Linked DNA regions of Yarrowia lipolytica. The protein of the gene in region 2 binds, or shares a complex with, the protein of the main gene of each other region. Links are inferred from orthologs where the notes say so. Each region holds a gene or a part of one and is shown on either strand. Other genes may lie near its edges.

Region 1 (3,053 bases), on a different chromosome or scaffold from region 2:
TCTTTTGGTTCGCCATGCTCCTCCGGCCTTAAGGTCTCCGTTGTGCTGCCGAATACGTCGGAACGGATTCGGAGTAGAGCCCACGTAGCAGGAGAGAGGTTTCTTTGTAGACTGCAGCAAATACACTCCGTAGAATGGAGGGTATTGGTGCGTCATGGTATCTTGTTTTTATGGTGTGGCTATTAAGCTCACCACTTTGAGAGATGTTTGTTGTGTGCAGTGTGCAGTCGGTTAATATTGAAGGTTCCATGCAGCACCTGAGAGTGACACGCACATGGTACATACAGTACAGTACATCCGATGTTGGACAATATTTGGAGGTGGGTTACAGTAGCTTATATAATGTGTCATACTTGTACATCATTACATGTCGAATCTCACCCTTTGATATCAAGGTAGAGTGACATTATCGAGTGAACTGCTATATCTCGTTGTCCATAACATCAAATTTGGGTGGCGTTTAGTTACGACTCACGTGACGATATCACTTGTTCTCACGCGACTACCCACCAACAGTTGACGGTTATTCGCAAGATGGCTTCATTTTGTTGACAGATATACATCACTTGTAAGAGTAAAAGCGGTGTACCTAATATAGCCTGCCGTACTTTTACGCGCCTCAGTAGGCTACCTTCCCACTCATATTCACAATAAAATGATCTGTTAATCTATACCTCGCCTAAACGACAAAACAACATGTACTAGTGTACAGCCACCTGTCGTGGGCAGTTTCTTTTGGACTTTTGGACGGTCTTCTAGGTAGCTTAGATATCATCGATATCAAGCTCATCCTCCTCATCATCATCATCATCGTCGTTGTCGAACTCGAAGTTGCACTCGTCGTCCTCTCCACCCTGGTCAGCATCGTTGATCTTGGCAGACTCAGGAAGCTCACCCTGAGCCTTGAGAGCTCGAGCCTCATCGGGGTGGTACTTCATGATGACATCAGCCTTGTCGTCCTCGAAGTCTCGCAGAGAAAGCAGAATGATATCGGCCTGGTTGATCCACACCTTCTTTCGGAGCTTTCCTCGAATGTGAGCCAATCGCTTGACACCGTCGAAGCACTGGGCCTCAAGACGACCGTTTCCGAGCATCTTGACAACCTGGGCGTACTCCTGGCCTTCCTCCTTGTAGACAAGCTCTCGCTTGCTACCCTCAGACTCGTTCTTTCCTCTTCGTCGGTTCTTTCCGCCCTAGAGTTAGTAAGGTGGGCATTTCAGATTATTCCGTTGGCATTTCCACATGTGCAAAATACCGCCTAGCCTCGATTCTCGTGCCGCAAACCACCGTCAGCTACTCACCTTTCCCTTGTTCTTAGGCATTTTGTAGTATACTATCTAGGAACAAATTTTGATAGGGTTGAAAAACTAAGGGAGAGGCATGTCCCAATCGGGAAGTCATGTGAGTTACCCGGCCGGCAGAGAAGAGCACCGAAGATACGACTTTGGAAGCAGCTATGTGTGAACTCTGTATTAAAAAAATGGAAATTGTTTTTATGGAGGTCCCCGTGTTGCTTCCAAATTAATACCATGTCAACAAGACAAGCCCCACTAAGCTGCTGTTTTGGTTTGATGTTCAGATGTCACACGAGATGGAGCATCCAAGGCACACAGTTGGGAGTTTAGGCTTTCACACCCAGCATTAGTTGATGCAAGTCAACTACAGTAAATTACATAAATTATATTGTGTGCCAACATCATTAATCATCACCCCCACACAGCACTATGGATCCTTTTGAAGCTCGAATGACGATGGTGGAGCTCGTGGGACGGCTCAACGCCTCACATTCGTCCGAATCTACCCTCGCTAGTTTCATGATGAAACACGACGACCTCAAGGAAGACCTCTACGCCTGTATCATGGAGATTCTCGAGAGCACAGCCAAAGACAACGTCAACATGCGTAACAACATCATGTGGGCGCTGGGCTTTTTGTGTATGAAGATTGAAGAGTACGAGAGTAAACGGAAACGCAAGATTGCTGAAGGCACGCCAGTCGGAGACTCCAAGGACATGACGTTCTACAACGCCAGTCTGGTCAATGATCTGGTCAAGATCACCACAGAGCTCGTGTGCTCAGACGACGAGATTGGCCGAATCAACAAGCAGAGCGCGTTGCTGTTTCTCAACAAGATGAAGAAACGCAAACTGGGAACCGCAGCTGGTAAGGGTCCTCAGGGCTTGGAGCAGATCGACCGAGCTATTGACATTCTACAAAAGCGACAACCACCAGTACAGGATGAAACCGACCTCAAACTGCCCATGACAAATGCGCAGAAACTCAAGCGAATGGAGGAGGACCGGGAACGTTCAAAAATGGAACGAGAGAATGCATGGGTGATTGGACGGAACGAAGACGAGTTTGAATTACAATGGGATGCCCTGGATGGCGGTTTCACGGCTCTGGACAAGTACGAAACCCAGGAGGAAAACGAAATGTGCCAGCTGGCGAAATTTGGACTGGACTTGTCTGCTGCTGTGAGATATTTGGCTCAGGGAAAGCGAAGACGGCTAGAAGAGCCAACGCCCGGGCGGGAAACTATGGCATAGTATGTACACTATACAGTAATTATTTATTTGCATCAGCTACACACCCAGTAGTGAGCTGTAACCAATCACCATGAAGCATATTTTTTCTTTGTATTGTACATTAGGAGCTGTAGTACAAGGACAGTATGGACAATTCCTTGTGCTGTTCTATTGTGTACTTCTGCAACCCAACAAATATACAAGTAGCCCTGCTGTGTACAGTTCGATTATTACTCAAGCCAAAATTTTAACCTATAAATGCAAAATGTCCTACAAATAGAGAGAGCCCCTTAATACTCAGCCAGTCTGAGCTTTCTACCAATCTCCTTGCGTCCCAGCCGCTCGGTATCAGCCGCGTTCTCAAAGTCCGCCATGTCAAAGTATCCGTAACCTCCAAGAAGATAAGACATCTCCTCGTCGTAGATCTCTGTCTCGGAGGGCTTCCTGGACCGGGGAAGAGTTCGGCCAAAGTGAACTTGCTTGGTGGTATGTACCTGAGGAACTCGTTCACAAGACCGAGCTCGA
Region 2 (6,015 bases):
GGCTGCACATTACCGTTTCAAAGATTTTTCTCTTCATGCCCGATTCACCAAAAGTGGCCTTCAGCGGACGATCCCTTCGCCTGTGTCGTGATCAAAACGGTGATTTTCCTGATAACTGTGGCCGAGAAAACCGCAGAGAAGAAAAACGCCATCTTCCATAAGAAGGTCGATAATAGCATTCTTCGAATACTCCATTGCGCGAAAGTTTTTCTTGTAAGCGGCGTTACCATTGTTCAGTTGAACCAGGCCTGGTCACAGCTCGCAACTGAATCCGGTTTAGCTGACTCCTGTCGCCAATCAGAATATATATCATAGATTGTAGCTCGAGTAGTCTCAAAGTCGCAGGTTGGTCAGCATTTGATCTCGTCTTTTCATGGTGGGTTCGAGTTTGAAGTTGGCCAACATGCGCCTGTTGAGATCACTCTAGAACTCAGGTCCTTCTCTCGCAAAGGTGGACTCCTCCTCGACTTTAACCATAGCATTGACCCACTCCATGAACCTGGAGTTGTCGGCGTCTCCAGGCAGATAGACAATGTCTGTATGACAGACCAGCTTCCTATAAATGTCGTAGGCAGTCGTGGATTCCTTCAGGTGTCGGATGTCCTCCAAAATAGTCGACCAGTCGAGATGCGTAGGCATAGTAGAAGAGTCGGCAAAGTCCATCAGTCCCCATCGGTATTTGCTCGTAAGTCGTCGACTTCATGAGGCACGAAAAAATGAGGTTCTTGATAACGGGATCCTGCATGATATAGTTCACGATAACATGGGGAGGGTTGGTGTAGTCTAGATCCGCATCCTTATCACCGTTGTTGTCGAAGATGTGGTCCTTGAGGTCGCCAATGGCGTCAAAGTTGTCCCAGTACTTGGCCACGTTCAGATTCTTAATGTATCCTGCCCATAGTAGTTGATAACTCCCTGGATCTTGTCTTCGCTGGCACCGGGAAACTTCTCCACGAGAACAAGGACCGGAATATGGGTGTATGCAAGTTCAAGGGCATGATTCATGGCCTCGTACTCCTGCGCGGTAGAGTATGACTTGCCCGAGATCCAATAATGACGTAATTGAAACCGGCTGAGACCGAGGAGGGTACTCAGATCTCAAGTAAAGTCGTCGGGCAAGGTGAGAGTTGGTGAAGTTCTAGTAGCCCCATCGGTGCTTCATTTCTTCATTCAGACGACGATTGGGGTTTCATGGGACATGGAGCAGAGCAGTCCAGACTCTCGGATAGTGCGGGGGGTTCTGGACACTGTAGTTCCGGACATTGATAGTGCGGTCAACAACTGGAGTCTCTAGGCGACCATCCGTGACAATATCACTTCACCAGAGAAGCTGTGAATGGTAGCGAGAGTGAATGGTAGCGAGAGTGAATGGTAGCGAGACTGTTTCATTTGTGGAGACTGGCAACCAACTCGCTGGTTTCCTCACAATGCCACTTGTTTGGACTACTCTCAATACTACTCTCTTAAAGATTAAGATGAAGGTGAAGACTAACTGCAAGAAGTACTGCAACAGTATGTACATTATTTTAGTCCGATGCCCCATCTTTTTTTTTTTTATATTTTTATTTAATTATATATATATTAATATTTTATCTTATTTTTATTTTTTTTTTTTTATATTTTATTTTTATTTTTATTTTTATTTTTATTTTTTTTTTTTTTTTTTTTTATTTTTTTATTTTTATTTTTATTTTTTTTATTTTTATTTTTATTTTTATTTTTTTTATTTTATTTTTTTTTTATTTTATTTTTATTTTTATTTTTATTTTTTTTTTTATTTCTAATTCTAGGGGGAAATACAAACACAGGCTACAGAGGCCTAAAAAAAAATATGAACCCCCATATCGGACTCGGATCCAGGTATTCAGAAGAGCGCAAGACAATGCTCGCACCCATCCAGACCAACTATATGGTATCTACCACAGAATCGAACCCACAACCGCGTTCGATCTGTGAAAAATTTTGAAGGAAACTTTAGTTTGGCGCAATGATGATGCTGCAAGGAAATCGTAGATATGGCCTAGATTGATATGTTTGAGAAGTGGATTGCGGTAGTTCGACAAAGCCGAGCCAGAGTTATGTGAAACCTAAGAAACAAACAAAAAAATCTCATATCGGGGATTTGCCACATTTCCACCGGTCCTTTTCCCTTTTTTTTCCCGCTCTTTGAGGGCAATCAGTGTCTTCTTGTAACAAGGTTTGGATCACGTGATTTCTCACTTTTTCACCCATGTAGTTACACATCTCAACCTGAATACCTGACCATTTTCACGACACGACAAGATGGCGAAGAAAGGAAAGAAGCAACAAAGCTACGGCGACTGGAGCGACAGTGAGGAGGAGAGCATGGACACGACTCCCCAGAACCTCGACGGGACCCCTGCTGTGGAGGACAAGGCTGCTGGGGCTGCTGATGTGCCCAAGGGCGATGAGAGCGCCTCTGCGACCCCCGAGCCCACCCCTGCCGCTCCCGAGGAGGCCACTATGGACGATCTTGCCGACGAATTCGAGGGCGGAGGACTGATGGGAGCGCTGCGAAAGTCCAAGAAGAAGAAGGACGCGCGAGACGCCAAGGACGCAAAGGCCGAGCCCGAGGAGGCTCCTGTGATTCTGACCAAGAAGCAGAAGGACAAGCTCAAGAAGGAGCAGGAGAAGGCCAAGAAGAAGGCTGCTGCCGACGCACGAAAGGCCGCTGCCGACGCAAAGGCTGCTGATAAGAAGGCCAAGGGAGAGGACAAGAAGGAGGACAAGAAGGAGGACAAGAAGGTCGAGTCCAAGTCTCCTGAGCCCGAGGCCGCCCCCGCCGCCCCCGCCAAGAAGCTGACTGGCCGAGCTGCTGCTATTGCCAAGATCAAGGCCCAGCAGGATGCCATCAAGGCCCAGGAAGCCGCTATGGCTGCTGCCGAGGAGGAGGAGCGAGCTGCCGAGGAGGCTGCCCAGCGAGCTGTTGAGGAGGCCGAGAAGGAGAAGGAGGCTGCACGGCTCGCCAAGAAGGAGCGAGAACGACAGAAGGTCGAGCGACAGAAGGCTGAGGGTACTTATATGACCAAGAAGCAGAAGCAGGAGCGAGCTGCCGCCGAGGCTCGACGAGAGCAGATGCTGGCTGCCGGAATGATTGTTGGCGGTGGACGAGCACCCGCCAAGCAGACCAACAACAGACTGCCCACCAGAACTCCTGCCCAGAAGCAGCCCAAGGTTGAGGACAAGGTTGTTGAGAAGCCCAAGGAGGTCAAGAAGGAGGCCGAGTCTCCCGAGGAGGACGATGTTGACGCCCTTATGGACGACTGGGAGACTGCCCTGGACTCTGACGGAGAAGTCAAGGACGACTGGGAGGCCATGGCCGACGAGAATGGCGAGATTGAAATCACCAAGAAGGAAGACCCCTCCATCAAGGCCAAGGAGGAGGCTGAGGCTGCTGCCAAGGAAGCTGAGGCCCAGGCTGCCGCTCTGGCCCGTCAGAAGGCTGCTGATGAGGGCACCCAGCTCAACGACGAGACCGAGCTGGAGCGACAGCGAGTTGCTGCCGAGGAGGCTCTTGAAGAGGCCCGACGAAAGTCTGCTGCCATTGCCGAGAAGCGTGCCGCCAAGCACTCGCGAGCCATTGCATCTGCCAATGCCGGAAACCTGCGATCTCCCATTTGTTGTATTCTGGGCCACGTCGATACCGGTAAGACCAAGCTTCTGGACAAGGTGCGACAAACCAACGTGCAGGAGGGCGAGGCTGGAGGTATTACTCAGCAGATTGGTGCCACCTACTTCCCTATCGAGGCCATCAAAAAGAAGACGGAGGTCATGGAGCAGTACGGCGAGATTGACTACCACGTGCCTGGTCTGCTGGTGATCGATACCCCCGGTCACGAGTCTTTCACCAACCTGCGATCCCGAGGTTCGTCGCTGTGTAACATTGCCATCCTGGTGATTGATATCATGCACGGCCTCGAGCCCCAGACCATTGAGTCCATCAAGCTGCTGCGAGACAAGAAGACGCCCTTCGTGGTCGCTCTCAACAAGATTGATCGACTCTTCGACTGGGAGGCCATCCCCAACAACTCGTTCCGAGATTCGCTCTCCAAGCAGAAGAAGTCTGTGCTGCGGGAGTTTGAGGACCGACTCGAGAAGACCAAGACCGCTCTTATGGAGCAGGGTCTCAACTCTGAGGTCTACTACAAGAACAAGAACCTGGCCAAGAATGTGTCTCTGGTCCCCACCTCCGCCATCACCGGCGAGGGTATTCCCGATCTGCTCGCTCTTCTGCTGCAGCTGACTCAGAGCCGAATGTCCAAGCAGCTCATGTACCTGTCTGAGCTCGAGGCCACCGTTCTGGAAGTCAAGGTTGTCGAAGGTTTCGGAACCACCATCGATGTTGTTCTGTCCAACGGTGTCTTGCGCGAGGGTGACCGAGTCGTGCTTTGCGGTCAAAACGGCCCCATTGCCACCAACGTCAGAGCTCTACTCACTCCCCAGCCGCTCAGAGAGCTGCGAATCAAGTCTGCTTACCAGCACCACAAGGAGGTCAAGGCTGCTCTCGGTGTCAAGATTGCCGCCAACGACCTGGACAAGGCCGTGGCTGGTTCTCGTCTGCTGCTTGTGGGTCCTGATGATGATGAGGAGGAACTCATGGACGATGTCATGGACGATCTTACCGGCCTCCTTGACTCCGTTGACAAGTCTGGACGTGGTGTGTGTGTCCAGGCTTCCACTCTTGGTTCCCTGGAGGCTCTTCTCGACTTCCTCAAGGATATGAAGATCCCCGTCATGTCCATTGCTCTAGGTCCCGTCTACAAAAAGGATGTGATGCGAGCCACCACCATGCTGGAGAAGGACAAGTCGCTGGCCATCATGCTGTGTTTCGACGTCAAGATCGACAAGGACGCCGAGCGATATGCTGACGAGCAGGGTGTCAAGCTTTTCTCGGCTGATATTATCTACCATCTGTTTGACGACTTTGTCAAGCACCAGAAGAAGCTGCAGGAGCAGAAGCGACTGGACACCATCGACAAGGCCGTTTTCCCTTGTGTTCTGCACACTGTCCAGATCATCAACAAGCGATCGCCCATGATCATTGGTGTCGACGTTGTTGAGGGCTCTCTGCGAATTGGAACCCCCATCTGTGCCGTTAAGACCAACCCCGAGACCGGTGCACGAGAGGTGCTCGAGCTCGGTAAGGTGACTTCCATGGAGGTGAACCACAAGTCCGAATCTGTTGTTCGAAAGGGCCAGACCAACGCTGGTGTGGCTATGCGAATCGATACTTCTTCCGGACAGCCTACTTGGGGCCGACACATTGACGAGAAGGATGTTCTGTACTCGTCCATCACCCGAAAGTCCATTGATACTCTCAAGGACCCCGTTTTCCGAAACGACGTGCCCCGAGAGGACTGGCTGTTGCTCAGAAACCTCAAGACTACTTTTGGAATCAAATAAGGGATCTCGGAGATTAGGAGATCAGGAGCGGACAACATCAAGCCACTGTTATAAATGGCCTGGTACGTTGTTATTGCTCTGACTATTGTGTAAGATGTACGTAAATGAAAATTGATATTGCTGATTGAAGTGAGTTGATACTGTAGGCCGCTTCAAGAGGTTTGGACGGTTGTACGTAATATACACTGATTCCCGTAAGAGCCGATCTGGTCGCAGTAGACATATGGCTGCGTGATAGTGTAACTTGATGTCTTTAGATAAATTCTCTGGCATTTGGACTCTGTATATCATTTGACACTTTTTCAACTGCATTTTTTTTCCGCATTTTTTTCCGCATTTTTTTCCGCATTTTTTTTTTTTCTTACGATACATATATTCCCAACTAAACCCAACTAAAGCCTACTACTGTATGTTCACTGAAGTAGCAAGGTAGCAAGTACAGACACTGTAGTCAGAACTATGTGAGATACAGCCTGGAGCGATTAACTGCCGTACAATCATCACTTGCCCAACCGCCTTCTATAAATGTACTTTTCCTAGGTCTTTAAAGTGGTAGAGGAGAAACCCAGCTTCACGTGTAGTTATAGCTGT

The links.
Region 1: the proteins of YALI1_A01061g (region 2) and YALI1_F28025g are in contact, whole or in part, in a crystal structure (PDB 3WBK), measured with the Saccharomyces cerevisiae proteins. The link is inferred for Yarrowia lipolytica from reciprocal best matches to the Saccharomyces cerevisiae genes FUN12 and TIF11. Residues at the interface, in NP_009365.1 of Saccharomyces cerevisiae: Arg969, Asp973, Lys976, Phe980, Trp989, Leu990, Lys993, Lys996, Glu1002; in NP_013987.1 of Saccharomyces cerevisiae: Asp145, Leu148, Ile150, Ile153.

The regions. Positions count from the first base shown.
Region 1 is NC_090775.1:2,801,405-2,804,457, forward strand, and holds YALI1_F28025g (uncharacterized protein), read right to left. Parts: upstream 1,323-3,053; coding exon 1,302-1,322; intron 1,194-1,301; coding exon 765-1,193; downstream 1-764. Other genes in the region: YALI1_F28015g (uncharacterized protein), read right to left, coding at 1-156; YALI1_F28031g (uncharacterized protein), read left to right, coding at 1,725-2,549; YALI1_F28064g (uncharacterized protein), read right to left, coding at 2,819-3,053.
Region 2 is NC_090770.1:102,421-108,435, reverse strand, and holds YALI1_A01061g (uncharacterized protein), read left to right. Parts: upstream 1-2,283; coding exon 2,284-5,424; downstream 5,425-6,015. Other genes in the region: YALI1_A01074g (uncharacterized protein), read right to left, coding at 424-682, 711-891, 939-1,005. UniProt on the Saccharomyces cerevisiae protein: Plays a role in translation initiation. Translational GTPase that catalyzes the joining of the 40S and 60S subunits to form the 80S initiation complex with the initiator methionine-tRNA in the P-site base paired to the start codon.